4 linked regions of the Pelodiscus sinensis genome follow. The main gene of each other region encodes a partner of the protein of the gene in region 2 in a complex. Links are inferred from orthologs where the notes say so. Each region holds a gene or a part of one and is shown on either strand. Other genes may lie near its edges.

Evidence for each region.
Region 1: MED24 (region 2) and MED8 share a complex: the UniProt entries of both Homo sapiens proteins name them as parts of the mediator complex. The link is inferred for Pelodiscus sinensis from reciprocal best matches to the Homo sapiens genes MED24 and MED8.
Region 3: MED24 (region 2) and MED26 share a complex: the UniProt entries of both Homo sapiens proteins name them as parts of the mediator complex. The link is inferred for Pelodiscus sinensis from reciprocal best matches to the Homo sapiens genes MED24 and MED26.
Region 4: MED24 (region 2) and MED7 share a complex: the UniProt entries of both Homo sapiens proteins name them as parts of the mediator complex. The link is inferred for Pelodiscus sinensis from reciprocal best matches to the Homo sapiens genes MED24 and MED7.

The regions. Positions count from the first base shown.
Region 1 is NW_027465825.1:9,104-16,125, reverse strand, and holds the start of MED8 (mediator of RNA polymerase II transcription subunit 8), read right to left. Parts: upstream 3,007-7,022; 5' UTR 2,969-3,006; coding exon 2,963-2,968; intron 1-2,962. UniProt on the Homo sapiens protein: Component of the Mediator complex, a coactivator involved in the regulated transcription of nearly all RNA polymerase II-dependent genes.
Region 2 is NC_134739.1:11,072,974-11,080,650, reverse strand, and holds the start of MED24 (mediator of RNA polymerase II transcription subunit 24), read right to left. Parts: upstream 3,017-7,677; 5' UTR 2,866-3,016; intron 680-2,865; 5' UTR 671-679; coding exon 541-670; intron 1-540. UniProt on the Homo sapiens protein: Component of the Mediator complex, a coactivator involved in the regulated transcription of nearly all RNA polymerase II-dependent genes.
Region 3 is NC_134729.1:30,941,973-30,949,780, reverse strand, and holds the start of MED26 (mediator of RNA polymerase II transcription subunit 26), read right to left. Parts: upstream 3,005-7,808; 5' UTR 2,667-3,004; coding exon 2,592-2,666; intron 1-2,591. UniProt on the Homo sapiens protein: Component of the Mediator complex, a coactivator involved in the regulated transcription of nearly all RNA polymerase II-dependent genes.
Region 4 is NC_134727.1:39,200,464-39,208,192, forward strand, and holds the start of MED7 (mediator of RNA polymerase II transcription subunit 7), read right to left. Parts: upstream 3,014-7,729; 5' UTR 2,861-3,013; intron 1,041-2,860; 5' UTR 1,023-1,040; coding exon 330-1,022; 3' UTR 1-329. UniProt on the Homo sapiens protein: Component of the Mediator complex, a coactivator involved in the regulated transcription of nearly all RNA polymerase II-dependent genes.

The sequences.
Region 1 (7,022 bases), on a different chromosome or scaffold from region 2:
CCACTGATCAGTTTCAGCAGCAGCTGACTTGGGGATGCCTGGGTTTCTTAAGTTGAATCTGTATGTAAGTCAGAACTGGCATCCAGATTCAGCCGCGGTTGAAACTGATCAGTTTCAGCAGCGGCTGATGCCAGTTCCAACTTACATACAGATTCAACTTAAGAACAAACCTACAGTCCCTATCTTGTACGTAACCCGGGGACTGCCTGTATCTGCATTGACACCCATGGATGCAAATACCCCACAGATATAAAGCAAATATCCACAAACTTGCACGGTTCTAGAGATAAAACTTCTGTCAGCATCTGCAAAAATTAACCATGGTATACTCATGGATATAAAGCAGATATCCACAGATTTGCAGGGCTCTATTCATGCAATTTAGGGTAGGTGGAAAACCTACACCATTATTTATTACTCTGTGATTTGTATTGTCATTTGAGATCAAAATGACTTCCTGTGTTTTTGTCCTGGAGAACTTTTTCTATGGCCATTTTTATGCTAATGAAGCGCGGGAGATTTAAATCCCTACTTCATTAGCAATTGCGATACGTCTAATTTGCATCCCTTTTCTGAAAAAGGGATGTAGTCTAGATTTAGTGGCTACGTCTACGCTGGCATGATTTTCCGAAAATGCTTTTAACGGAAAAGTTTTCCGTTAAAAGCATTTGCGGAAAAGCGCGTCTAGATTGGCAGGACGCTTTTCCGCAAAAGCTGATCAGAGCTTTGAAATAAGCCCCGCCACTCCCCCTCTGCCCCTCCCGTCAGAGACCCCCCCCGGGTGCCCCCGCCTCTCCCCCTCAGCCCTCCCGTCAGAGACCCCCCCCGGCGCCCCCGCCCCTCCCGTCAGAGCCCCCCCCCCGGGGCCCCCGCCCCTCCCCCTCAGCCCCTCCCGTCAGAGACCCCCCCCGGGTGCCCCCGCCTCTCCCCCTCAGCCCTCCCGTCAGAGACCCCCCCCCCCAGCGCCCCCGCCTCTCCCCCTCAGCCCTCCCGTCAGAGACCCCCCCCGGGTGCCCCCGCCTCTCCCCCTCAGCCCTCCCATCAGAGACCCCCCCCGGCGCCCCCGCCCCTCCCCCTCAGCCCTCCCGTCAGAGACCCCCCCCCGGCGCCCCCGCCCCTCCCCCTCAGCCCTCCTGTCAGAGACCCCCCCCCCGGGGCCCCCGCCTCTCCCCCTCAGCCCTCCTGTCAGAGACCCCCCCCGGGGCCCCCGCCTCTCCCCCTCAGCCCTCCCGTCAGAGACCCCCCCCCCAGCGCCCCCTCCTCTCCCCCTCAGCCCTCCCGTCAGAGACCCCCCCCGGCGCCCCCGCCTCTCCCCCTCAGCCCTCCCGTCAGAGACCCCCCCGGGTGCCCCCGCCTCTCCCCCTCAGCCCTCCCGTCAGAGACCCCCCCGGCGCCCCCGCCCCTCCCCCTCAGCCCCTCCCGTCAGAGACCCCCCCGCACCCCCACCCCCACCCCTCCCCCTCAGCCCTCCCGTCAGAGACCCCCCCCGGCGCCCCCACCCCTCCCCCTCAGCCCTCCCGTCAGAGACCCCCCCAGCGCCCCCGCCCCTCCCCCTCAGCTCTCCCGTCAGAGACCCCCCCCCGGCGCCCCCGGCCCTCCCCCTCAGCCCCTCCCGTCAGAGAGCCCCCCCCGGGGCCCCCGCCCCTCCCCCTCAGCCCCTCCCGTCAGAGAGCCCCCCCCCGGGGCCCCCGCCCCTCCCCCTCAGCCCCTCCCGTCAGAGACCCCCCCCCCCGGGACCCCCACCCCTCCCCCTCAGCCCCTCCCGTCAGAGACCCCCCCGGCGCCCCCGCCCCTCCCCCTCAGCCCCTCCCGTCAGAGCCCCCCCCGGCGCCCCCGCCCCTCCCCCTCAGCCCCTCCCGTCAGAGACCCCCCCCCGGCGCCCCCGCCCCTCCCCCTCAGCCCCTCCCGTCAGAGACCCCCCCCCCGGCGCCCCCGCCCCTCCCCCTCCCGTCAGAGACCCCCCCCCCGGCGCCCCCGCCCCTCCCCCTCCCGTCAGAGACCCCCCCCCCGGCGCCCCCGCCCCTCCCCATCCCGTCAGAGACCCCCCCCGGCGCCCCCGGCCCTCCCCCTCCCGTCAGAGACCCCCCCCGGCGCCCCCGGCCCTCCCCCTCCCGTCAGAGCCCCCCCCCGGGGCCCCCCCCCGGGGCCCCCGGCCCTCCCGTCAGAGCCCCCCCCCGGGGCCCCCCCCCGGGGCCCCCGGCCCTCCCCCTCCCGTCAGAGCCCCCCCCCGGGGCCCCCCCCCCGGGGCCCCCGGCCCTCCCCCTCCCGTCAGAGCCCCCCCCCGGGGCCCCCCCCCGGGGCCCCCGCCCCTCCCGTCAGAGCCCCCCCCCGGCGCCCCCGCCCCTCCCCCTCAGCCCTCCCGTCAGAGCCCCCCCCCGGCGCCCCCGCCCCTCCCCCTCAGCCCTCCCGTCAGAGCCCCCCCCCGGGGCCCCCGCCCCTCCCCCTCAGCCCTCCCGTCAGAGCCCCCCCCCGGCGCCCCCGCCCCTCCCCCTCAGCCCCTCCCGTCAGAGCCCCCCCCGGGGCCCCCGCCCCTCCCCCTCAGCCCCTCCCGTCAGAGCCCCCCCCCGGGGCCCCCGGCCCTCCCGTCAGAGCCCCCCCCGGGGCCCCCGGCCCTCCCCCTCAGCCCCTCCCGTCAGAGCCCCCCCCCGGGGCCCCCGGCCCTCCCGTCAGAGCCCCCCCCCGGGGCCCCCGGCCCTCCCGTCAGAGACCCCCCCCCGGCGCCCCCGCCCCTCCCCCTCAGCCCTCCCGTCAGAGCCCCCCCCCCGGCGCCCCCGCCCCTCCCCCTCAGCCCTCCCGTCAGAGCCCCCCCCCGGCGCCCCCGCCCCTCCCCCTCAGCCCTCCCGTCAGAGACCCCCCCGGGGCCCCCGCCCCTCCCCCTCAGCCCTCCCGTCAGAGACCCCCCCCGGAGCCCCCCCCGGGCCGGCTCAGCGGGGGGGGGGGGTGCCGCCGCCGCTCCGCTCACCTGCATGGCTGCATCCTCTGAAGACACCGACCCCCTCCCCCTTCTACTTCCGGGTCGGGGGTGAGAGGTCAGCGCGGGCCGGAAGCGGGGCCGGGCCGACATGGCGGGCAGCGAGCGCGGGGACGCGGAGGTACCGACCCGGCTGCGGGGGGGCCGTAGGGCGGTGAGCTGGGGGGGGGCCCGTTGGGCGGGGGGGGCCGTAGGGCGGTGAGCTGCGGGGGGGCCGTAGGGCAGTGAGCCGGGGGGGGCCGTAGGGCGGGGGGGCCGTAGGGCAGTGAGCCGGGGGGGGCCGTAGGGTGGGGGGGGCCGTAGGGCAGTGAGCCGGGGGGGGCCGTAGGGGTGGGGGGGCCGTAGGGCAGTGAGCCGGGGGGGGCCGTAGGGCGGGGAGGCCGTAGGGCAGTGAGCCGGGGGGGGCCGTAGGGTGGGGGGGCCCGTAGGGCAGTGAGCCGGGGGGGGCCGTAGGGTGGGGGGGGGCCGTAGGGCAGTGAGGCCCGGGGGGGGGCCGTAGGGCGGGGGGGCCGTAGGGCAGTGAGCCGGGGGGGCCATAGGGCGGGGGGGGGCCGTAGGGCGGTGAGCTGGGGGGGGGCCGTAGGACGGGGGGGGGCCGTAGGGCGGTGATCTGGGGGGGGGGCCGTAGGGCGGGGGGGGCCCGTAGGGCGGGGGGGCCGTAGGGCAGTGAGCCGGCGGGGGGGCCGTAGGGCAGTGAGCCGGGGGGGGCCGTAGGGGCCGTAGGGCGGTGAGCCCGGGGGGGGGGGCCGTAGGGCGGGGGGGCCGTAAGGCAGTGAGCCGGGGGGGGGCCGTAGGGCGGGGGGGCCGTAAGGCGGTGAGCCGGGGGGGAGGCCGTAGGGCGGGGGGGCCGTAGGGCGGTGAGCCGGGGGGGGCGAGGGCCGTAGGAGGCGGGGCGGGGGGCCGTAGGGCGGTGAGCCGGGGGGGGGGCCGTGGGGGGGGAGGCCGTAGGGCGGGGGGGGCCGTAGGGCGGTGAGCCGGGGGGGGGGCCCGTAGGGGCGGGGGGGCCGTAGGGGGGGGGGCCGCTAGGGCGGGGGGCGTAGTGCAGTGAGCCGGCGGGGGGGGCCGTAGCACGGGGGGGCCGTAGGGCAGTGAGCCGGGGGGGGGGCCGTTAGGGCGGGGGGGCCGTAGGGCGGTGAGCCCGGGGGGAGGCCGTAGGGTGGGGGGGCCGTAGGGCGGTGAGCCCGGGGGGAGGCCGTAGGGCGGGGGGGCCGTAGGGCAGTGAGCCGGGGGGGGCCGTAGGGGCCCGTAGGGCGGTGAGCCCGGGGGGGGGCCGTAGGGCGGGGGGGGCCGTAAGGCAGTGAGCCGGGGGGGGCCGTAGGGCGGGGGGCCGTAAGGCGGTGAGCCGGGGGGGGAGGCCGTAGGGCGGGGGGGCCGTAGGGCGGTGAGCCGGGGGGGGGGCCGTAGGGCGGTGAGCCGGGGGGGGGGGCCGTAGGGCGGGGGGGCCGTAGGGCGGTGAGCCGGGGGGGGGCCGTTAGGGCGGTGAGCCGGGGGGGCCGTAGGGCGGGGGGGGGCGTAGGGCAGTGAGCGGCGGGGGGGCCATAGCGCGGGGGGGCCGTAGGGCAGTGAGCCGGGGGGGCCGTAGGGGCCGTAGGGCGGTGAGCCCGGGGGGGGGGCCGTAGGGCGGGGGGGCCGTAAGGCCAGTGAGCCGGGGGGGGCCGTAGGGCGGGGGGGCCGTAAGGCGGTGAGCCGGGGGGGGAGGCCGTAGGGCGGGGGGGCCGTAGGGCGGTGAGCCGGGGGGGGCCGTTAGGGCGGTGAGCCGGGGGGGGGGGCCGTAGGGCGGTGAGCCGGGGGGGGGGTGCCGTAGGGCGGGGGGGCCGTAGGGCGGTGAGCCGGGGGGGGGCCGTAGGGCGGTGAGCCGGGGGGGCCGTAGGGCGGGGGGGGCGTAGGGCAGTGAGCCGGGGGGGGGGGCCGTAGCGCGGGGGGGGCCGTAGGGCAGTGAGCCGGGGGGGGGGGGCCGTAGGGCGGGGGGGCCGTAGGGCGGTGAGCGACGCGGGGGGCCGTAGGGCAGGGGGGCCGTAGGGCAGTGAGCCGGGGGGGCCGTAGGGCGGGGGGGCCGTAGGGCGGTGAGCGACGCGGGGGGGGCCGTAGGGCGGTGAGTGCGGGGGGGACTGTAGGGCGGGGGGGGTCGTCACGGTCTCCGCTCGTACTGTCCCACGCTATGGTGACTGGTTTCCATTTGCTGCAGATGGAAGAGGCAGGCCAGGTCTTCCTGCTGATGAAGAAAGACTATCGGATCTCCCGCAACGTGCGCCTCTCTGGTTTCTGAGTCACCTGCGCCAAGTCATTTGTGCTGTGCCTGAGTGCGAGCTGGTGAGTATGCAGGCTCAGGATTGACGTAGGGGGCTGTGACCTGTGCCCCCGGATTTGGCAGGTTGGCCGTGGAGGAGAGAAGATGTAGGCATTTTTGGTCAACACTGCTCCTTGGGAGTCTAGAATCCCTGTGAAAGCCTCTCGCCTGGGTATTTGTTCTCTCCTCTTCCTGCTCGTCTGGATGCCTGGCTTTTCCTCACTTGCTGCTTTTCTCCTGCAGGTGAAGTCTGATAATGAACTGGATATTCTCAGCATCCTGCCAAATGGGTGGCAGCCACATGAGTCTGTCCGGCCCAGGCCCTACCTCTTAGTACCCTCCACGCAGGTCACCTTCCTGGCACGACAGTACCGCTTTGTGATTGAGCTTGATCTGAGCCCGTCCACAGGCATCGTGTGTGAGCGTGCAAGGGGGACCTCGGGGCTCTCTCACACAGAGCTCCTGCCGCCAGCTGTGTCCCATCTTGGTGCCAGGCGAGCTTGGCTCCCACTTCCCAGCAAAAGCTCCATGTGCCAGCAGCTGCCACTGGCTGGAATCCCACCCTTGTGCAGGTTGTCTGTGCTTGGGTTTTGCCTGGTGGGCACTGGCCCTCACGGGTTGGGGCTCTGCGGAATGTTTCCAGGAGGGCGCGTGGTGGAACGCTAGGTGCTAGGGACCCCCGTCAGTGACACTGGAAAACCAGTTACTGTTTCACCCTTCGTACTTCTGCAGGATGACTCCACGGGGGAGATAATTTTTGACGAGGTGTTCCATGCCCTTTCCCGGTGCCTCGTGGGATTGCTCAAACCCTTCCGAGTCCCTGGTTCAGAAATCACCTACCAGCCAGAGATCTTTGTCACCATCCAAGCATATTCTTCCATCATTGGTCTGCAGTCCCACCAGGTACAGTTCCGTCTCCTTCCTCTCCCCAGTCTTCGTGTGCCAGCTCTTCTTGTTGCCCAGGCTGCTGGGGACATGCAGACGGGAGTTGCGTGCACACTGCTGCTTATGGTGAAGTAGTCTTGGCCCCTCGGAAGCTGTGTTCTGGTGCAATGCTAGACCGTAAGGTCGCTACTCTGTTGTGTTTGTATAGGCCAAACCTCAGCCTCCGGCCCCGATGGGCAGTGCCAAGCAGAGACGGGGATCTGTGGGCAGGAGCCTGCAGTTTATTAAGGGAAATTCATCCCAGATATTCTTTGCCCCAGTGTAAGTTGAACTTTCCTTAGTAGCATTTTTTTGAGTGGCTGCCTAGTGAGATTGGACTGTAGCTCAGGTGCTCCCTAACCCACACATGCAAGAGCAGTTCCTGAATGCCAGGTGGTAGGGCCAGAAGGCACCCAGGGAGCTAATTCCTTCCAGGCCAAACCTCAACCCTTAAACGTCAATGCACTGCCATGCCATTTGCAGATCATCAGGCTTCTCACCCTGCTGGCGTGCTGTGTCCCTTTGTGTGTTCGGGCTGTAGGCTGCTTGGGGCAGGCACTGCCTGTTACTCCTGGGGGAGTCCTGCGCCCTCTGGGGGGTGCAGAATTCCTGCCTTCTGCAGACTTCCTGGCTCCCATACAGGAAAAACGGGGAGCAAAGAGCTAGCTGTGTGGATGTGTGCTCCTTCCGCAGCAGCTTGGGTGTGTCTGCTGGGAGTAGCAGGCAGCAAAGACTAGGGATGTAAGTGACTAGCTGACTAGTAACTAGTTTACTCGATCGGCCCCGCCCCTTACTGCCTCTATCAGACAGAGGCAGGGAGCAGGAGCTGGTGCTGGGGGG
Region 2 (7,677 bases):
TACCCTAACATGTACAACAACAGAAATACTTAGTTCTTACACAGCACTTTTTAGCCACAGATCGTTAAGTTCTTTAAAGGGAAGCGCAGGATCATTTCCCCCATTGTACAGATAGAGAAACTGAGGCACAAAAAGATGCTCACGGTCTCCAAGCAAACCAGCAGCCCAGCTTGGAAGAGAATCCAGGTCTCTTTAGTCCCAATTTATAGCTCTAGCCGCCAAAGTATTCTGCATCTCTCGGTGTCAGTAATAGCCGAGCAAGTTGTTGCAGCCAACAATCATGCTATATACTCCACTCTTCCCAAGATTTACACGCTTGGCTTTAAGCACGAGTCGTCCCTGTGAAGGGCTCCACATGTACACAAGTCTTTGGACCTTCCATTTCTATTTGGGAGTTTTTCAGCCCAGACATAGAAATGCAGGTAAACATAATACAACTGCTGCAGTTTGCTTATCTGGGTGATATGTGTGTCTCGCTTTGTACCACGCACATAACACAGACACGTGCACGCAAACAGTCAAACAAAACCAAATCCTGACCTGCCAAATTAAGTATGTCCCACGTGGCTCCTTTAGGGAAGAATTTCTTCATGTTTATGGCCCACTGGTAATCACTCCACCGTTCTCTCCAGGCCTGGAGAATGGCCTGTTTTAGATTGACAACCTTCATCTTTCTGTTCTGAAAGGCAGAGAGAAGATACAGCAGCTTGTTCATAACAGCATTTCTCACCCACTCCCCTCTCACCCAAACACTTCTCCTGGGGCACTGTCAATCAAGCACACCTTTTATTTCTATAACAAAGGATTCACTCTTAGCAGAAGGCAGTGCAACCTGGTTTATGCAAGAGGCTGGGAGCCAGGACTCGGCAGCTCGGAGACCATTATAAGTAGGGCCCTACCAAATCCACGGTCCATTTTGGTCAATTTCAGGGTCACAGGATTTTTTAAATAGCAGATTTCATTATTTCAGCTATTTGAATCTGAAATGTCAGTGTTGCGATTGCAGGGGTCCCCTGATGTGAAAAGGAGTTTTGGGGGTGAGAGGACACCAAATTATTGGGGGAGTTGTGGTACTGCTACCTTGTTCTGGACTGCTGCTGGCAGTGATGCTGCCTTCGAGGTGGGCAGCTGGGGAGTTGGATGAAAGCTGCCAAAAGCAGCAGCACAGAAGTAAGGGCAGCATGGTACCGTATTGCTACCATTTCTTCTGGCTGCTACCAGGGTGCTGCCATCAAAACTGGTCATCTGGACAACAGCCGCCACTCTCCAGCTACCCAGCTCCTCTGAAGGCAGTGCAGAAGTAAGGGTGGCAATGCCATGACACCCCTAAAATAACCTTATGACCCCCCCCCCTTGCAACTTCTTTTTGGGTCAGGACCTTCAGTTTGAGAAATACTGATCTCCTTTGTGAAATCTGTACAGTAGAGGATAAACGCACACAAAATACCAGATTTCATGGTCAGAGACACATTTTCCATGGCCATGAATTTGGTAGGGGCCTAATTATAAGGAAGAGACAGTAGCCCACTGATCAGCTCATGGGAGTATTGGGCGCAGGGGGTCATAAGTTCTAATCACATCAGGATGAATAGAGCATAGGGTGTGGGTGGAGTGGGGGGGGGGGGAGAATCCTGGGTTCCCTTCCTGCTCCCAGATCTGGGAAACAAGTGAGGTCTAACATTTAGAGCAGAAGGGTAGGGAGCCAGGGCTCTTGGACTTCCCAGCCGTGGGAAGGGGCAGGCTCCTGTGGCTAGAGGAGAAGGTGTGAAACCCCATCACCCTGCTTCCCCATCTGCCCCAGTGGGGCAGTCCCAGGGGGCACAGAGATGTGCATGTGTGAGCCCTATCACCTACCAGCACCCCTTTAACTTGCTTGAGGGAGGGAGGGGCACATCTACATGTGGGGGCGTTGCTCCCGCCCCCCAACACATACACCCGGGTGCTGCCCCTGCCCCCACACGCATGCACCCGGGGCACTTCCCCATGCCCCCCACATACATACACCCTGGGGGTGCTCCCCACAACCCCCCCCCACATATACACCCAGGAGCACTCCCCCCACATACATACACCCCAGGGGTGCTCCCAACAGCCCCCCCCACATATACACCCAGGAGCACTCCCCCCCACATACATACATTCTGGGGGTGCTTCCCACAGCCCCCCCCATATACACCCAGGAGCACTCCCCCCCACATACATACACCCCAGGGGTGCTCCCCACAACCCCCCCACATATACCCCCAGGAGCACTCCCCCCCACATACATACACCCCAGGGGTGCTCCCCACAGCCCCCCCCCACATATACACCCAGGAGCACTCCCCCCCACATACATACACCCCAGGGGTGCTTCCCACAGCCCCCCCCACATATACACCCAGGAGCACTCCCCCCCACATACATACACCCCAGGGGTGCTCCCCACAGCCCCCCCCACATATACCCCCAGGAGCACTCCCCCCCACATACATACACCCCAGGGGTGCTCCCCACAGCCCCCCCCACATATACACCCAGGAGCACTCCCCCCCACATACCTACATTCTGGGGGTGCTTCCCACAGCCCCCCCACATATACCCCCAGGAGCACTCCCCCCCACATACATACACCCCAGGGGTGCTCCCCACAGCCCCCCCCACATATGCCCCCAGGAGCACTCCCCCCCACATACATACACCCCAGGGGTGCTTCCCACAGCCCCCCCCACATATACACCCAGGAGCACTCCCCCCACATACATACACCCCGGGGGTGCTCCCCACAGCCCCCCCATATACACCCAGGAGCACCCCCCCACATACACACACCCCGAGGGGGGCGCTCCCCCCCTCCCCACATACAGACAGGGGCCGCCCCCTCACCTTTCAGGCCTCACAAACAGCGCCTCCTTCGCGCCCTGGGCTCCGCCATCTTGGCACCCACCAACACGCCCTCCACTGATTGGCTGGACGCGCGCCGCGCGCCGCGGAGGCTGCTGGGAGCGGTAGTTTTCTGAGGCTGGCGGCCCAGGAGCGGGGCTCTCTCTGGCTGCCGGCGGCGGCGGGGGAGGCGGTCCCATCCACAGACATCGGGCCGCCCCTCTGACTGGGGGTGGAAGGGGCAGTGGCATTTTCCAAGCTATAGGGCAGAGGGTCCCAATTTTATTTGCAGAGAGGTAGCGGTGTGCGTCTGATCTTGGTAACACACAAAAAAAGCAGCCACGTAGCTCTGTGAATAATGAGATAGTCTTGTTAGTCTTTATAGTGCTACCTGACTGCTTTTTTGGTTTTACCCATGTTATTGGGCAGAATTTTGCAGCACCCCGAATAACAGTCTAATATATGGAGCTGAAAAAGTAGCCCACAAATAAGTAAGGATCGTCATAAACAAATGCTAAACAAGGTCATGCGATCAACACACATGAAAATTGTTTTCAATCCAATTCATAAATGCTTAAATATTATTTTTTTCTTTAAATCATAAAATGTGGTTGTAATGGAATTTTCTTGCGGAACCCTTATTTTCACTTTGTGGAACCCCGGGGTTCCGCAGAACCCCATTTGGGAAACATTGTTATCAGGAATTTCAGGATTTTTTTTTTTTTCTGGTTTTAAATTTTTCATTACCGCATTGCTGAAGATGATCAAATCACAGCTCTAAGAAACTCACCCAGCCTGGCTGCAAGGGGTGGGATGCGGGGTGGGGGGAGAGGGGCAGAGCGTAGAGTTGCCAGGGGTCCGGTTTTGAACCGGACAGTCTAGTATTGGAGCTTTCTGTTCGGGAAACAAATTGAGAAAATAGAAATGAGAAAATAGAAATGTCCGGCGTTTTCTAAATAAGATGGAATGCAGATTGTGATGGAATGTCAAGTGTGTTCGGTATTTTTGTTGAAACCATCTGGCAACCGTACCAGAGGGTCCCTGCATGTTAAGGACAACCCTGCCCAGCAGTTGATGAGAAGGGGAGAATAGCAAAAGAGGGTGTCACCAAAAGGGTGGGGGTCACTGGCCCTGCACCCCGCTCCACAGCCAGACATAACTCTTCGCCGGCAGGTCGGTCAGAAGGGTTATTGGTTCACAGGGACACAGCGTAGCACAGATGTGTCAGCACAGGACCAGAAGCGGCCGGCACCATCCGTCTTGGGGAGAGGGGAGCCCAGAGCCCTGGGCCCCCTCCCTGGATCCTAAGCCAGACCAACTCACACCCTGCAGGCAGCCCCACCTCCTTTGTCCAGCTTCCCCTGCAAAAGGTGTCACCTGTTTGTACACACACCCCCTCCCAGGCTCATGTTACAGTGAGTCTGGGCCATTGTGTACATGAGGGGCTGGGGCAGCCTCCCCTCCCGGAGAGTCACATCCAAAACTCCCATTCCCGTGTGGGCACCAGTGCGGCGCCTAGGGAAACTGAGGCACGCCCACACAGAGCAGTATAGGACAGTAGAAATGACATGCAACATCCAAAATCGAACCGAGTGCATCCAACCCCCAAAGAGGGAAACTGGCTTTTTGCAGTGAGCTAGCCACGTGCTGTCTCTGTTGAGACGCAGTCTGACAGTGCCTAGTTGGCTCTGTACGGCTGTGTGTGCCAAGAGCCAGGCAGGCACTTCCCAAGCACGCAGGAAGGCCGGCACCTGCTCACAATCCGAGGCATTAAAAACCTCACCAGTCTCTCCTCCATTTTAGTTGGGATTGGTCTTGCCTAGAGCAGGGGGCTGGACTTGATGACCTTCTGAGGTCTCCTCCAGCTCTATGGTTCTATGGTTCTATGATGGACTTGCCTTGGTTTGCACAGAGTTCGGACAGGGCCCGGGGCACCGGGCTCGGCTTTTCTCTCGTCCTTTCCAACTGCTCCAGCACGTTTAACGAGGCTAGACGTGTTTAATAATTCACTCCGTCCTCTTTTCCCCAAGAAAGCATCGCTCCAGCAACCACAAAGATCAGGGCCGTCAGCTCCAGGACCACAGGGGACCCTTGCGGTCACCTAGTCTGACTGGCCAGGCCACAGGATCTTGCCTAGATCATTCCTAGAGGGGGCTCTTGTAGGGAAAAAAAATCCAATCGTAATTTGAAAATGACCCGGGACGGAGAAACCCCTGTGGATGTGATAGGGACTTGGAAAGGGGGTGAGAGCCAGGCCAGGGGGACGGGAGGGGAGATTTTCTTGTACTCTCATCTCTCCCCATCTGTTGTCTCCTGTATTAGATTGTAAGCTCTTTGGGGGAGGGATTAGCTCCGTTTTCGGTGTCTGTACAGAGCCCAGCGCCACGGTGGGGTGTCACTACAGCAATGCAGAGAAAGAAGAAGATCGGGGGTTATCCGCAAGGAGGGACATTGGAGAGCCTTCTGGAATACGCTGGTATTTGTACCAGTTCTTTGCACCTCTCTACGCCGTAGGGAAGGGTGCAACTCAATGGTGGGCAACCTGCAGCCCACGTACGGCCCTTTGGAGGTCTATGTGTAGGTGGCAAGATTGTGCTGGTTTTCGCCCACGTTGGTTTTTTCCTACCGGTATTGCTCACAGCTCTGCCCGCGCCTCTGAAGGGACACAGCCTGGCGGGCGTTTGTTCGCGTCCCCGTCTCGAGGGGAGGTGGCAACGCCAGGGTGGAATTGCCCTGCCACGGCCAAGCGCACAATCAGCGTCCTGCCTATCCACTCCCAGGTGGAACCTGGCACAGGCCGGCTGAGGAGCTGACGCCCCCGCCCCCTTTGCTGTGTAGCGCCTAGTGGGCGGAGTGATTTGGGGAGGGGCCACCGACTCCTGCCCAGGAGCCAGGGACTAGTGAATTGGGGCTCCGAAGAGCTGGCCAGGTCTGTTCCTCTGCCCTGCAGCTGTGCCCAGCCCCCCCACGCCTGGTCTAGCTGACTACACTCGCAGGGGCCTAGGTCCCACTGCAGATTTCACGGGACAGCTAATAACAGGGGCCAGGTCTCCTGGGTCCCTTGATTTGGCGGCATTGTCTTGGATTCCTGCTCTTGGGAAAGGGGTTCACCAGGCTTGTCTCAGACACGCAACCCACCAGCCTCTTGGGGAGAGGCTACAGCCGTGGTGACCCATGCGCTAGCGGCTAGCCACGGGCGGCTGTTTGGCCGGTTGAACTGGCTGGACACCATGATGCGAGTGGGAGGCCAAATAGTATCGACACCCCCACGGTGGGCGCCCTGGGAATTCCACGGCAGAGCTCAGGGCTTAAGCTAGAGGAGTCTCCCCATTGGTTATTAATGATATAGGGGCCTATGACACACATTTGGGTCATTCGGATTCAGTCCAGCAGGGGGCAGCGCATGCATGCACATGCTCTCTCTCTCTCGTGCAGCTCCCTCCAGAGTCCCCCCGAGACCCACAGCTGCATTCTACCAGCACTGTTCTCGTGGGCCCTAGCAGACACAGCTGCACTGCCCGTGCCCACGCACTCTACTCAGCACTGCAGTGGGAGCTGCGTGGGAGGATGCTCTGGACTGGCAGTAGCCGAAACCGCAGGGAACGTTCCCCCCAGCATAGCAGCTGGGCTGGGGCCTCTCTTCTCTCTCTCTTTCCTGGCATCTGTTTCCCCCCGCAACATGCCACCCACCCTCCCGGGCTGGCTGGCTGGTGCGCCCACATCACCGGCTCCCCCTCCCCGAAAGCCAGCGTCTCCCCGTCACATGCCCTGCGCTCACACCAGAGACCTGTGTCGTTCGCCATCTGCCAGAGAAATTGGGCAGCGGCTTGGAAGGGAACCTGGAGGAGGAGCCGGGTCCCTGGCAGCGTTAACCCAGAGAGCTGGCAGCTCCGGGCGTGGGCTCTGCTGCAGACGGCCACGGGGCTGGGCCAGGCCAGGCCCTGGTGCCACGGACATGCCAATGGGGGGGTTGGCCCCTTGCTCCATGGTCGTCCTCGAGGATCGTGCATCTCAAGGTGCAGACCAGGCCACGTTTACAGCGTGGGCTGAACGAATTCTAGCGGGCGCCGAGGCGCAGCCAAGAGGCAGACCAGGCCCAGCCTGGGTGGGCTAGCATGAAACGGCCCCTGGGCGTGAGGGCGCAGCCTGGTTTTCAGCAGGGCCGGACACCTGCAGGTTCCCCACCGGCAAAGTACCGAGGATGCCGCAGACCGAGCGCTCGCTGGCCCTGTCTGGGGTGAATGGCACCACGGCAGCACAACCAGCTACTCATCACTGCCCCCTGCAGGGTGGAATCACCAACTTCTCGGGGCCGCGTGTCATAGGCCCCTTACTGCTAACGGAGATTCCCCTTGCGCTGTCATGCCAGGGGTCTGGCCTGTCAGCACGGGAAGCCCTGAGATCTAGCACTAGGCAGTTCTGTGTCTCTGTGCTGGGGCAGCACAGAGCCGTCTAGGTCGAAGTCCCTTGCTTCCATGCAAGCGGCAACCCACCTCTTCGCCTCTCTTGTGGCTGGGCAGGATGGTGCTCTTTGCCTTTCCCCCGCAGCAGGGAGCAGAGGACAGAGGCTCAGAGTAAGGATCAGCCACACGAGTCTTACAAAATTCTCCCCCCCACCCACCCCACCCCGGGTCTTCATCTGCTGCCTTGGGACCTTCCCCCATCCCACCAGCCCTAGCCCAGAAAGGGACTTTTCCCCTCACTGCTTGTTCAACAAGACAACCCCGAGACCCGCTCAGGGCCAGCCCACAGCTGCCCCGGCCCACATGGTCACAGGCTAAGCAGGTGAGCGTTCTTGGCTCCATGTCCCACAGG
Region 3 (7,808 bases), on a different chromosome or scaffold from region 2:
TATTTTATTTTCACTGACATTTTTGCCACTAAATGTTTATTTTTGCATCTGTTAAAACTTTGAATTGCTCAGGCCAGGAGAGACATGAGGTCAGCAATCCAGCACTGACCTGAATTTAAAACACATTCTGACAAAAAAAAGTTATTCTGTGCTTCAGTTTCCTTATAAACTAACAGTTCTACACATTTTAGCCACTGTACTAGTCCAAAAATTCTTTATGAAACAAATTGAAGAGCAAATGCAGGACAAGAAATGTATCCATCTTCTGACTGCTTGAAGACCTTTACATGGAAACTGAGATCAGAACTGTACAAGTCCAACCTCATGACCAATTAATATAATGACTGTCAGGAAATACAAGATTCTAACATATGGATTGGCAGCTTGTCCAACAAGCAGTAAGACACCACATTTCACTTCACACGGCTTTTTCATGTGTTTTCTCAACTGCCTGGTATCATTGAGAAACTGCTCCCTGCCAACTGCCCTTTCTGAAACATCCCTTACTCTAAAGCACTTGCAGCATGCTGCAACTTAGCTGTCTCTATTTAAACTCTAACCAATGCTTGTGGATTAATTGACTATGTAAAAATCAATTACATGAAGATTTACAATTTCGGCTAACTATTTCGGGATCATTAACAGAAGACCAGTGTACAGTATATTTTAAGGTTACCACAGGTTATGAAGGATGCATAGGAACAGAAAATTAAAGAAGATAAATTGTTCTAAAATATTATGTGTTGCCCCATGGCCTATTAAACTGAAACATCCCGATTTCATGAGTTCGTAGACAGCATAATAGGCCAGATCTCATTTAAAACAATGTTATAAGTGATCGGGCTGATTATTTTCAGATTACATGCACATCACACTGCAGCACCCTCAGAGTGCTTTCACTTAATTATCAAATTTGTTACTATGATACATAAATCTGCTTCTAATAAATAGAGACCTCTAAGAGATGGGCATGTGAGCTTGGGTTGAACTGAAATATCTAATTCCATTTGGCCTATAGTCTCTAATGCTTGACAAAGCCCTGGTTGGGTTGATTTACTTTGGATTGGTCCTGCCTTTGGCAGGGGTCTGGACTTGATGACCTCCCTGAGGTCTCTTCCAGTTCTATGATTCTGTAGCAAGTGGAATGAATACTTTGACATGCGGCATTTGACTTGATGCACATTTAGGCTTCACCATAGCCAGCCTCAGATGTTATGAGTTGAATTCTACTTTGCAACCCAGACTCTGATGTGTTGGCTGCTGATCCAAATTAACCCTACAACTCTATACACCATTAATTTGAAACAGAAAATTAAGTACAACTCGTAAGCTTAATTATTCACAGTAACAGGTAAAAGGTATACCAGCTTTTCTGGGCTTATACCGTGTCCTCAAACTAGTTGATAAAGTTCATCATATAATAAAAGGTGAGGCCAAAAAAAAAAACACACAACAAACGTCTTACCCCGAGCTGTAAATAATTCAGGAACCCACAGCGTGCTTCTGCCCTAAACCTAGAGATGGCCCCAAAAGTTTCAAGGGTCCCACAATCCTGTTATTTCAATCTAGGATCTTATTTGGGACACTAACCTGCAACAAATGAAGTCCCTGAGCATGGGTGCTTGCGAGTCAGGGAAGAGAAGGAGAAATGAATGAAAAGAGCCCCTTCTAGGGTGTGCTACCTATAGTACAGTGGAGAACAGCGGGATGTACGGGGAATGCCCCCAGCAGGTGACCATGTTAAAGGGAGACAGAGAGAGACTGGAACACTGGATAAGAAAGAGGAGGGAAAGTTCTCTCATAGCAAGGATGCAGAACCCGCTGGAAGCATCCCCAGAGTCTTTTATGGGGTGAAGAAGAAACTGCAGGGACCCCCCCCCTTGGGAGTGCAATCACCGAACAGCATCAGGAGGGACACTGGATGCTCTGCAGCCGCCTCCTAGCAGCTCCTAGCCGGAAAGGTCCGGGTCGCGCCGCTTTCCCAAACGAGCCAGCTCGGAAAGCCCATTACAGACAGGGAGCCCCCTGCAGGCCGCACCACAGCCTCGGTGTCGAGTCCGGAGCTCGGTCCGACACCGCACCGCATGGCCGGCTACCACCTGCCCCCTCCCCCAGCCATGCCCGCGGGAGTGAACTCACGGAGCCAGCCTGGCCCCTGCGCCACAGGGACCGGCCCTCGCGGGAACCCCGGGCCGAGGGGCGCGAGGACACCGGCCCGGCGCACGGGGAGACGCAACACCCGGGACTCCGCAACACCCGAAGAAGCGAGTCTCGAAACCCAGCGCCCCTCGCACCCCCCCCCCCCCCCCGCGGCAGGAGTTTCCGGCGCGGGGCTGCTCCGCGGGGAGGAGGCTCCGGAACACCCGGGACCCGGCACTCCAGCTGCCTGCGGGAGAGGCGCCTCACGCCAGCAGGAGCCCACAGGCATCCCCGGGGGGCAGCCCCCTCCCCGGGGGGCCCGGCCGGGGGGGCAGCCCCCTCCCCGGGGGGCACGGCCGGGGGGGCAGCCCCCTCCCCGGGGGGCACGGCCGGGGGGGCAGCCCCCTCCCCGGGGGGCAGCCCCCTCCCCGGGGGGCACGGCCCGTACTCACATTACTCTGCGGGTCGATGGCCTGCAGCAGCCGGTCCCTGATCTGCTGCGGGGAGGGGGCCGGAGCCGCTGTCATTGCCTGGGCGAAGCGGGGCGGCTGCGGCCGGGGCGGGCGGGCGGCGGGGCCGGGCCGGGCCGGGGCGGCGGCTCCTCACTCGCCGGCGGCAGCCTCCTCAGGGAGCCGCATGTTCGCTCCCCGCTCGGCGGGGGAGCGGCGCTCGGGGCCAGGCGCGACCGCGAGGGGAGGCTCGAGGCGGCGGGACTAGGCCGGACCCGTCTGCTCCACTGAGGGCCGAACTCAACTGTGGGCAGGATTCAGAGAGCCAGCCCCGCGCAAGGCACCATGGGACACGCCCGACGCCGTCACGCACGGCGCGTCTGTGACGTATGCGCGCACAGGCCCCTGGAAGGAGAGCTCGCGCCTGGGGACTCGTTCGCAATACGCATGCGCAAGGCGGGGCCGCGGCGCTCCGCACACCCTGTGTCGTGCGCTGCACCGTGCCGGGGAGGCGGCTGTCGGGCTGCCCTGGAAACCCGGCCTGGGCCGGAGCCCTGCAGCATTGCGGCCGGGCGGCAGCAGGACGGGCATGGCAAAGGTGCCCAGGAAGCCCGAGACTGCGGGCTCAGGCGCTGACTCGGGAGGGGGGAGTGTCCTGCAAATCCGGAGCGAGACAGCGAGTCTCGCTACCGGCTCGGGCTATCAGCCCTCGTGCTGCTGAGATACACCGAGCAACTCCCGTCGGGCCACATGCACGGGCTTGGGGACCCGCGGACACGCCCCTTGGCTCCTGCTCTCTTTGCATCATGAAAGCTCTATAACACGAGGGTGTTTAAGTGTCTGACAAGTCCCAGATTCCACAACAGATTGCCACTAGACAGATGCCAGGTGTTTTTTTTAAATGACGTGTGATCAAATGAAATGTTTCGTTTTCACAATAAAAAGAGCACATGGATTTTATTTTAAAAAATGACGCACATGGGGATTTCCATTCATTTTTACTGAAGTGATTAAAATGATTAAAGAAGCTACTGCCTGCATAATGTAAGCCCTCCTGGAGAGGACTGAGTTTACAAAATCTGAAGAAAACTGTTTTCTAAAGATATTAAATTGATAAGAACAGATCTCCAGCCTCCCCACCTTTTGATATTTGTAGTGACCCCAGATTAGCCACTTGATTCTTACAGTAAGAAATTTCCTACTTTCTTGTTACCTCCTCTCCCACCTCCACCTCATTCCCACCTTTTGTTCTACATAGCTGATTTGTCATTTTGTAATTTTTTACTTTTTTCATTGTATCCTTCTGTTATATAATGGTCATGCCAGTTCGCTTTCAGAATATGATCTGAAGAAGTGGGTCTGCCCCATGAAAGCTCGTCACCTAATAAACTATCTTGTTAGTTTTTAAAGTACTACAAGACTACTTTTTTTTCCAAGACCAAATTAACACGGCTACCTCTCTGTTACTATCCATTGTGGCTGTGTCTACACTGGCATGAATTTCCGGAACTGCTTAAAACTGCCAGTTTTTCCGGAAAAGGAGTGTCTACATTGGCAGGCTGCTTTTCCGGAAAAGCCCTTTTTCCGGAAAAGCGTCTGTGGCCAATGTAGACGCGCTTTTCCAGAAAAGAGCCCTGATCGCCATTTTCGCGATTGGGGCTTTTTTCCGGGAAAGACTACTGGGCTGTCTACACTGGCCCTTTTCCGGAACAGTGTTCCGGAATAAGGACTTATGCCTGAGCAGGAGCAGAATAGTTTTTTCCAGAATAGCAGTTGACTTTATACAGTAGAGCATCGTTGCTTTTCCGGAAATTCAAGGGCCAGTGTAGACAGCTCGCAGCTTATTCCGGAAAAGCGGCTGATTTTCCAGAATAAGTGGCCCAGTGTAGACACAGCCCGTGTGTTACTGTAATACACAGAGGCTGTGTCTAGACTGGCAAGTTTTTCCGCAAAAGCAGCTGCTTTTGCAGAAAAACTTGCCAGCTGTCTACACTGGCCGCTTGAATTTCTGCAAGAACATTGACTTCCTACTGTCTGAAATCAGTGCTTCTTGCGGAAATACTATGCAGCTCCCGTTCGGGCAAAAGTCCTTTTGCGCAAAGCTTTTGCGCAAAAGGGCCAGTGCAGACAGCTCAGATTTGTTTTGCGCAAAAAAAGCCCCGATTGCGAAAATGGCGATTGGGGCTTTTTTGCAAACGCGTGTCTAGATTGGCACGGATGCTTTTCCGCAAAAAGTGCTTTTGAGAAAAGCATCAATGCCAATTAGACGCTCTTTTCCGACAATGCTTTTAACGGAAAACTTTTCCGTTACAAGCATTTCCAGTAAATCATGCCACTCTAGACGTAGCCTATATGTAACTGATCAGAAAAGCTGATGGAGAGAACCAGTATTGCTAGAGACAACAGGGAAGGTGAGGAGCACTGAACATATATGTTTGGACTCCCTTACCCAAGTAGCCTGAGAACCCAGCCAGTAGCTGGGGAGGACTGGTTACCCAGCTCAGGCTGACCAGAGCCATCACCCCCAGCACCCTTTTGGCCAAGGGACAGAAGCCCAAACGCTGACAAGGACAAGTGGGACCTATGCCTGTACTTAGCCTGTGAATTTGTGGACTGAACAGCAGTCTGGGGCCCAGGACTGGTACTGACCTTGCTACACATGATTCACTGACAATAAACCTGGCTGGGCACCTTTGCACTTTAACGGATCCTTTGGTCATTGGGCCATTCAAGTTGAGATCTGCTTTGCCAACTATCCGTGCTGAACTGGTACAGCACACAGAGAAAACAAATGCATGTGCCCCTGGCCATGTCTGACATCATCCCTATGCCCAACATAGGCATTTAATTTCAGAAACGAGAAGTACATAAAAATGAGGTTAGTTAAACGGAAGTTAAAAGGTCCAGTGACTAAAGTCAAATCCCTCCAAGCTGCATGGAAACTTTTCAAAGACACCATAACAGGCTCAACTGAAACGGAGAGGCGGCCCGTGAGCCTAGGCGAACTAGGCAGTTGCCTAGAGCGCCGCTGCCCCGGATGCCCAATGATGACGTCATGGCCATTGACGGCCAAGCAGGCGGGGGCAGCGATTGCGCCACCCGCCTGGGGTGCCAGCTGCCATAGCCGGCCTTGGGCCATTCCTGCTGAAATGTGTATCCCAAATTAAAAAACCAAACAAGTGCCACTGTGGCTTAAGAACCAAGTAAAAGAAGCAGCGAGAGAAAAAGTCATCGTTTAAAAAGTGGAAGTTAAATCCTAGTAAGGAAAATAGAAAGGAGCATAAACTCTGCCAAATGAAGTGTAAAAATATAAGTAGGAAGGTCAAACAAGAATTTGAAGAACAACAAGCCAAAAACTCAATTTAAGTACAACAGTAGCAGGAAGCCTGCTAAACGATCAGTGGGGCCAGTGGACGATCAAGATGCTAAAGGCACTCAAGGACAATAAGATCATTGCGGAGAAACTAAATTAATTCTTTCATGGCTGAGGATGTGAAAGAGATTCCCAAACCTGAGCCATTCATTTTAGGTGACATATCTGAGGAACTGTCCCAGACTGAGGTGTCTAGAAGAGGTTTTGGAATAAAACTGATAAACTAAACAGTAACCAGTCACCAGGACCAGATGGCATTCACCCAAGAGTTCTGAAAGAACTCAAATGTGATAGTGTGGAACTACTAACTGTGGTGTATAACTTATTCTTTAAATCATCTTCTGTACCAAATGACTGAAGGATAGCTAATGTGATCCCATTTTTTTAAAGGGCTCTAGAAGGGCATGTTTACACTACTGAATTATTTCAAAATTACTCATGTTATTTCAAAATAACAAGGCGAGTGTCCACACAGCAAATGTGTTGTTTCGAAATTATTTTGAAATTATTTCGAAACTAGATGGAGTTACCTGGCGTTGCTTGGGAAACCAGAGGAACAAAATGTAAAAAAACAGTAGTCCATTATTTTTGTTTGAATGGTAGATTCAAACAAAGATTTAATCCCTGATTTCTATAGGGATTAAAATATAGGTCCATGTCATCCCGGGGGGGGAGGGTGCGACCCCGGATTGAGGAGAGGTTTTATGCGCCCCAACTCACGCCTGGGGCTGCAGGTTCTACATGGGGGTAGGGTGGGTGCCCAAGCTGCTGTGCACGTGGGGGTCAGGGCACTGTGTGCCGGTGCGGGAGGGGGAAGAGGGTCGCTTATGTAACTTCGCAGGTGGGAGGGGGTGAGTCCCAGACAGCGCAGGGGGCTACAGGCAGCGGGCACGGGACCTACGGTGGGTGCAGTGGTTTACTTTTTGATTTTTACAGCTTGAGCTCAGGTCCGATCGGGTCCAAAAGTACCTTAAAACTTTCTCCTGGATAAAAGGTTATCCCATGCAAAGTTTGGTTGCAGTAGCTCTTACAGTGTCCAAGTGATTAGCACACAAACATAAACATTCTCCTTTATATGTTAAATAACAGGCTTCTTATTCTGAAATAATAAACCCATTTCATGAGCAGTAACACCCTATTTCAAAATAACTATTTCTAAATAGGCTACGTTCAGATGGCACAGCTGTGCCTATTTCAGAATAATTGGCCTCCAGGGCGTCTCACAGCTGGCCTCTCTTTCCATGCCCCTCACAACGCTAAAGCGTACTTTTTCCTGCAGCCTTTAAAGGGCAGGCAGAAGGGAAAGTGCTTGTGGCATGACACAGGCCCTGTTCACACCATGCCACACAGCAGCACTCTGCTCTGCATCCCTTGCTGCAGTGAGCAACCCCAGCACTCCCTCCAAGCCCTCCACAGCTGCAAGCGAGCCTGCAGCACCTTGGAAGCCCCTGGGGCAGAAGAGGGCCCCATCCTGGACTAGTGTGGAGATCCCGGATCTCATCGAGGTCTGGGGAAAGGAATATAATCTCCAGGATCTCTGCACCAGGCACAGGAACGCTGATGTCCATGGATGAATGGCCACAAGCCTGGCCCAGAAGGGGCACACCTGCACCCAGGAGCAGGTGCGGATGAAAATTAAGGAGGTCTATCAGGCCCATGTCAAGGCCAGGGAACAAAGTTCCTGATCTGGAGTGGCACCCAAGACCTGCTGTTTTTATGCCCAATATCCTGGAAGGGGGTTGTTGGGTTCTCCCCACACCTTATCTAGACTCCAGCCTGGCCACACCTGTCGTTAACCTCCAGGAGGGCAGGGATGTGGACCAGGATGAGGGGGGAGGTGGAGGAGG
Region 4 (7,729 bases), on a different chromosome or scaffold from region 2:
TCAACTGACATGATGCACTTGTTTCAACAAAATATTTCACAAGATTTAAAGCTTTTCTGTTCGAAACAGCACACCATAGAAATTACATCTACAAAATTTCAAGCAATGCTTCTGTTTGGTCAACTGCAAAAACCTTACCTAGGTCTACAAAAATAAGATTTCTGGGTTAAATGTTTATATACACTAAATTCCTTGATGATTTATATATACAGATACCAAAAGCAGCAAAAAAACCTCCAACAAAAAACAAACAAACCATTCCATATGACTTCTATTAGCCAGTCCACTTCATGTCCCCAAGAATTCTGTACAATTACAAGAGTGTCTTCTCATGTCATTTCATCAATAATGCTACACATAGCAGCATCTTTGTCTAAAACCTGTTCTTTCTTGCAGCCAGCAACTTCTCTGCGCTGTTCAGTCCGTCCAATACAATTGTTGCTGTCATCAATATCCATGGGCTCAGTTTTTAACCTCATCCCTCCCTCTGAATGAGGCAAATCATCAGGCAAGGAGGTCAGGCAGTTCTGGATCATCTCTACAACTCGCTCTAAATGCTTCTGAAACCTCTCCGCTGTCTCCAAGCGCTGCCGTTTCTGCACCTCCATCATAACCCTCAGCGTCTCCCTGGCTTGATGGGGTCGATATTCATTTATAAGATGATGGACATGGACAAAAAGCAGTTTTAAGTCTTCCAGTTTCTCCTCCCGTTTTATGCTGCCCGGGCTCCTTATCAAGATATCCAAGAGGTCCAAAAAGTTGATCAAAATAGACATATTGAGTTTCCTCAGTTCCTTCTTGTGGTCAAACTGCATGGGATGCAATCGTTCAATGCCTTGGCTTTCCAAGGGTCGAATAATGAGATCATCGCATTGGAACTGGTTACCAAACATCATGTAGCTGTCTTTCACAGGTGGAGGCGGCTTGGGAGCTAGACCTTTCCGAATATTTTCATCTGTATATTCCTTTATATACTGCATTGGAGGTGGAGGGAGAGCACTCACTTGCTGAGGTTCACCCATTGTGGCAGATGAAACTACCTATGGAACAACCCACAAAAATGTAAGAGTAAGCTAGTTATAAATTAGTTTTACTGCATATCTAAATACTCCCCTTTCAGCAAATGGGATCTAAAGTCATCGTTAGAAATACATCACCTACCCCATCCAGATCCCCCAGTGGACTTGCAATATTAACAGCAATTTCTGAAATAACTTCCTGTGCTAGGAGCTACTGGAAAATGGACTTTTCTAGAAATGTGGCAAGATACATTTTTACGATCAGCTTTGGTATTTAGCTCCACCTTTAGTATCTATCAATCCCGGTAGGGACTGGTCTATCAAAATTACAAACCCAAGTTCTCTGTTTACTCAAAGAACAGGCACAGCAACATTAGCAAAGAATCTGAGCTTTCCTCCCACTAGTTAACATGCCCTAGACTGGAAGAGCCTTGAGAGATACAAGCAGGATTCAGCCTTGACATGCATTCAGTGCTTGGAATCTCTGTCAGACTGCAGATGAGGGTGCTATGTTTGGTATTTTATGAGAGTCAGGCACTTGTGTTTCACATAGGCCAGTGAGCAGGCCTCAGCTCTCCACCCCTGCCACTCTTAGCCACATCAGACTAGTCACAAAGACAGAAGACGCCATCAGGTCCATTACCAACCCCGGATCACACAGCTCTGGCTTTAGATGAAACACTTCAAGGATCAATTTAAAATCAGACACAGTTTAACACCCTCTATATAAACACACTTCAACACCCTCTCCCCTCCTTTAAAAACAAAAAAACACCACGAGAAAGGAGCCCCAACTCTCACCCTGGCGAGTGAGGCTGGGGCACTTAGTATCAAACTTCCCACTGATTCCCCTGGGAGGAGGATTGTGGTTGAGGGGCTTTATTTTACAGTCTATCAACCTTGGACATTTTAGCATCCACTAAAACTTGCACAGATTCCATTGAAATTACAATGCCGCTTAAATTGACTTGAATGTGTCCTTAAACCCAAGAGAAAGGGGATGAAATCCGTCAGGGTACGTCTACACTACACAGCTATTTCAGGATAATGGAGGTATCCCAAAACAGCTACCCCATATCTTAACAAGCCACGATGCACGTATACGGACCTAATTTCCTAAGGCACGACTAGCCAGCGGGGCTATTTGGGGACACTAGGCAGCGGGGCTATTTGGGGACACTAGCCAGCGGGGCTATTTGGGGACACTAGCCAGCGGGGCTATTTGGGGACACTAGCCAGCGGGGCTATTTGGGGAGACTAGCCAGCGGGGCTATTTGGGGACACTAGCCAGCGGGGCTATTTCGCTGCTCCGCATCTTTTAAAGGTGCCTGTTATTCCAAGCCAGCGGGCGCTATTCCAGCATCCCAGTGGAACCCGGGCTGAGGGCTGCCCCCAAACGGCGCGTTCTCTCGAAACGTGGCTCGGTGTGAATGCACCACATTTCCAAAGAACCGGTTTTGGAATTGGGGGTTTATGGAGCTGGGGAGCCCTCCTCCCCCCCCCTCAGTGACGCGGTAAGCACCACGAGGCGGATTTGAACCTGGCTCCCGCCCGGCTGCAGGAGGGTCTCGGTGCCCCTCGCAGTGCTCAGTAACCGCGCGGGGCGGGGGGGTCACACCACCGGGGGGGCCCAAATGCAGCGAGTCTGGGGGGGGCTCGCCCGGGTCTGTGCGCGGGGGCTCGGCCCCCCCCCATTATCGGGGGCCTGCGCTGCCCCCTCAGCCCCCCCCACGGGCCGGGCCCTGAGGCGACGGGCCCGGCCGGCGGGAGCACCCACCGGGGCGCGGCGGGGGGGCGGAGCCGGGCTCTGAGGGGCCCCGGGAGGGGGGGGGGACACTCACCTGCTGCCGCTACGGCTCCCGAGCTCCCCGCCGCCGACCCGCCGCACTCACTTCCGGCGGCCCCGCCCCTCCTCCCATTGGCCCGCAGGGACGGCCCGGGGCGGGGACGTCGCCGTCGGATTGGCTCTTCCCGGCGCCCGTCACAGCCCCGCCCCGCCCCATTGCGGCCGGCGGGCGGGGGCCTGGCCGCGCGCAGCCTGCCGGGAGCGGATGCCCGGCGGGGGGCGGGGGAGTGAGGGCGCTGGGCTGGCCGCGCATGCGCGCAGGGGGTGTAGCTCATCGCCTCGGGGCCAGCTGGGTAGGGCCAGGGGCGGGTTCACAAGGGGCCCGTGTGGGGCTCGGCCCCCCCCCGGCCCCTCAGCCCCCTCAGTGACCCCCCAGTGACCCCCCAGCGCCTCTCAGCCCCCTCAGTGACCCCCCAGCCCCTCAGTGACCCCCCAGTGACCCCCCCAGCGCCTCTCAGCCCCCCCAGTAACCCCCCAGCCCCTCAGTGACCCCTCAGCCCCCCCCGTGCCTCCCAGCCCCCCCAGTGACCCCCCCAGCCCCTCAGTGACCCCTCAGCCCCCCCTGTGCCTCCCAGCTCCCCCAGTGACCCCCCCAGCCCCTCAGTGACCCCTCAGCCCCCCCCGTGCCTCCCAGCCCCCCCAGTGACCCCCCCAGCCCCTCAGTGACCCCTCAGCCCCCCCCCGTGCCTCCCAGCCCCCTCAGTGACCCTCAGTGTCTCTCCAGCCCCTCAGTGCCACCCCCTGCCCCCCCATGCGTCTCAGCCCCCCCTGCCCATCAGCGTCATCTCAGTCCCCCCCCCCAGTGTGCCCCAGTTCTCTTCCTTCACTGCACTGGCAGTGCCTGCACCTAGGCACCCTCCTGCTCCTGGCCTGGGCAGGGGGCAAAGGCGTGTGGCAGCCAGTGGGGCTACCAAGTGTCCACTGCAGACATCCCTGCCCCCCTTTCTCTGAGCCCCCCCATACCTGCCCTGAGGCTCTGTCCCCCCCTTCTATGGGGTTCTGCCCCTGCCTCCCAGGTCCCAGCCCCACACACATGTGGCTCCTGTTCCTCCACCCTCATTTCACCTTCCCTGGGCTGGAGCAGGGGTGGGGGTTGGGGTGCAGGCGCTGGGCGGGAGTTCGCGAGTGGTGGGGCTCAAGGCTGGGGTGAGGAGTTGGGGTGCGGGGAATGTGGGCTCCAACTGGGAGTCAAGTGAGCTCTGGGGTGGAACCAGGGATGAAGGCTTTGGGGTGCAGGAGGGTACTTAGGGCTGGGGTAGGAGATTGGGGTGCTTCCCACCAGTGGATCCTGGAAGCAGCTGGCAGGCCCGCCAATGTGGGGGGAGAGGAGAGGAAAGGGAGCAGTTGGGATGGGGGGAGGGGAAAGGGAGCAGTTGGCATAGGGGGAGGGGAAAGGGAGCAGTTGGCATGGGGGGAGGGGAAAGGGAGCAGTTGGCATGGGGGGAGGGGAAAGGGAGCAGTTGGCATGCCTGCAGACGTGCCAACGGGGAGGTGAAATGGGTCGGTTGGCCCAGGCCCCCCCAGAGCACTGCACAGCTCTGAGGGCTGCCGGGAGTGGTGGGGGACAGAGAGCTGCTGCAGCGCACTCTGGGCGGTGCTGCCCCCAGTCCTATCCTTTCTGTGCAAGGCCTCACCCATTCCAGGACCCCAGAGCAAGGCTTCCACCACCACCTTGCCCTTGTCTGTCAGCCCCCCTGCATGCCTGGCTCCTAGGCACAGGGGCAATCGGGTTTTCAGTGCACTCTTCCTGCCCACAGGCAAGCACTGCCCCGCCGCACCCATTGGCTGGGGTTCCCGGCCAATGGGAGCCGTGGAGTCGGCAGGCGGGGTGTGAAAACTGCCCCCAATGAATTCCGAAGGCAGATCTGGAAGAAGAACGTCCCATTTTGATTTTTAAATGGTCTTTGATGGAGAATCTGCCTGGACCCCCAGTGAACTGTTCTGATGGTTAATTATTCCCACTGAGCATCGACCTAGTTTTTAATTCAAGATTAATCTTTAATGCCCAGAAACTCCACCCTGAACAGACCTGGAAGATTGGTAACCCTACTGTTGCTGTTTAAAATTTACCCCTTATTTCCAGTCTGAATTAGGCTAGCTTCAACTTCCAGTGGTTGGGTTGTGAGACCTTTCTCTGCCAGATGGAGGAGCCCCATATTAAAAAGTATCAGAGGAGTAGCCATGTTAGTCTGGATCTGCAAAAGTGACAAGGAGTCCTATGGCACCTTATTGACCAACAGATGTATTGGGGCATAAGCTTTCATGGGCAAAGACCCACTTCGTCAGACGCATGTAGTGGAAATTTCCAGAGGCAGGTATAAATATGCAGGCCAGAATAAGGCTAGAGATAATGAGGTTAATTCAGTCAAGGAGAATTCTCACCAGTAACTATACACCAGACCACAGTAACTAACTCAGGAACCAATTCGTGCAACAAACCTCGGTGCCAACTCTGCCCTCATATCTACACCAGCCACGCCATCTCAGGACCTAACCAAATCAGCCACACCGTCACTAGTTCATTCATCTGCACATCTACCAATATAATATACACCATCATGCGCCAGCAATGCCCCTCTGCTATATACATCGGTCAAACCGGACAGTCCCTACGTAAAAGAATAAACGGACACAAATCAGATATTAGGAATGGCAACATACAAAAACCTGTAGGAGAACACTTCAATCTCCCTGGACATACTGTAGCAGATCTAAAGATAGCCATCCTGCAGCAAAAAACCTTCAAGACCCGACTTCAAAGAGAAACTGCTGAGCTATAGTTCATCTGCAAATTTGACACCATCACTTTAGGATTAAACAAAGACTGTGAATGGCTAGCCAAGTACAAAAGCAGTTTCTCCTCTCTTGGGGTGTGTCTAGACTACAGGGTTTTGTCGACAAAAGTGGACTTTTGTCAACAAAACTATACCTGCGTCCACACTGCCTTTGAGTTATGTCGACATAACGTCAACAAAACTCAGCAGTTTTGTTGACGTATGTAAACCTCATTCTACGAGGAATAACGCCTTTTGTTGACAGAGTTCTGTCGATAGAAGGCATTATTGCATCTACACTGTCCTTTGCGTCCACACTGTTATGTCAACAAAACAGCTTGCTTTGTCGACAGAACTGGATGTAGTCTAGACGCTCTTTGTCGACAGAAGCTTAAAACTTCTGTTGATAAAACCCTGTAGTCTAGACATACCCTTGGTGTTCACACCTCCACATCAGCTGCTGGAAGTGGGCCTCATGCTTCCTGATTGAATGAACCTCGTTATCGCTAGCCTTATTCTGGCCTGCATATTTATACCTACCTCTGGAAATTTCCACTACATGCTTCTGACGAAGTGGGTCTTTGCCCACGAAAGCTTATGCTCCAACACATCTGTTAGTCTATAAGGTGCCACAGGACTCCTTGTTGCTTTTCCATAATAAAAAGTTGTTCTCCATGCAGATACTCATAGACAGCAGTTAAGCCACGCCTAATCTTTCATGGGTGCTGTTCCATTGTCGTAGGATCTGACCTGCAGGATGGCTGGAGGAGAAGGGGGAGATCTTCACTACAATAACCCCCCTCTCTCCCCGACTGGCTTATATCTGGCCTAGAGGACTCAGGCTTTGGGGCTCTAAAACTGTAATGCAGACATTTGGGCCCAAACTCTGGGACCTTCCTTGCTCATGAGTATGGCTGTAACTGGTTAACCACTAAGCATCACCTTTGCCAGGTGATGCTTACTGGTAACCAGTTAACTGGTGGCCTAGGAAGAATGGAGCAGCACAGTGGAGCCCACCACACCAAAGGCAGGGGGTGTTCTAGCCTGGGTGGGCAGCCGCTTCCTCCCCTGGGATCCCAGTTAAGCGGTTAACCAGTTAAACACAACGTTTACCCAGTTAACTGATTAAATGGGATTTTCATCCATACTCATGCTGCCCCAGAGCCATGAAAACCTACTGTGTAGTTTTGTAGCCCCAAGCCCAATCTCAGTGAACCAGCTGACCATGGCCAGCATGGACGTTTTATTGTGACATGACATCCCCTAGAAACGATTTTTGGAGCACCGATATTCATGTAGTGCTCTCCTGGGGCCAGCAGAGGGCAGCAGTGTTCCTGGAATCACAGGAGGGGCCCATCATATGTCTGTGGCTTGCAATTTTGTGGTCATGTTGGACCCAGGATATCAGAGAGACAAGGTGGGTGAGAAAGAAGTTTTTCCAATAAAAGACATTACCTCACTCACCTGTAATACGTTTGTGACATCATGCAGGGACAGTCCCTTTTCAGGGTTAGTCATACTGAAAACAAATCAGTAGAGAAGATAACTGGACAGTCCCTACGTAAAAGAATCAATGGACACAAATCAGATATTAGGAATGGCAACATACAAAACCCTGTAGGGGAACACTTCAATCTCCCTGGACACACAATTGCAGATCTAACGGTAGCCATCCTGCAGCAAAAAAAACTTCAGGACCAGACTTCAAAGAGTAACTGCTGAGCTACAGTTCATCTGCAATCAACTCAGCCATAAACAAAGACTGTGAATGGCTCGCTAACTACAAAAGCAGCTTCTGTTCTCTTGGAATTCACACCTCCAGATCAGCTACTAGATGTGGGCCTCATCCTCCCTGATTGGATCCACCTCGTCATCTCCAGCCTGATCCTGGCCTGCATATTTATACCTGCCTCTGGTAATTTCCACTACATGCATCTGACGAAGTGGGTCTTTGCCCACAAAAGCTTACGCTCCAACACTTCGGTTAGTCTCTAAGGTGCCACAGGACTCCTCGCCGCTTTTGCAGATTCAGACGAACACAGCTACCGCTTTGATAGTAGAGAAGACAATTTCTTTGCATCGCCATTCCT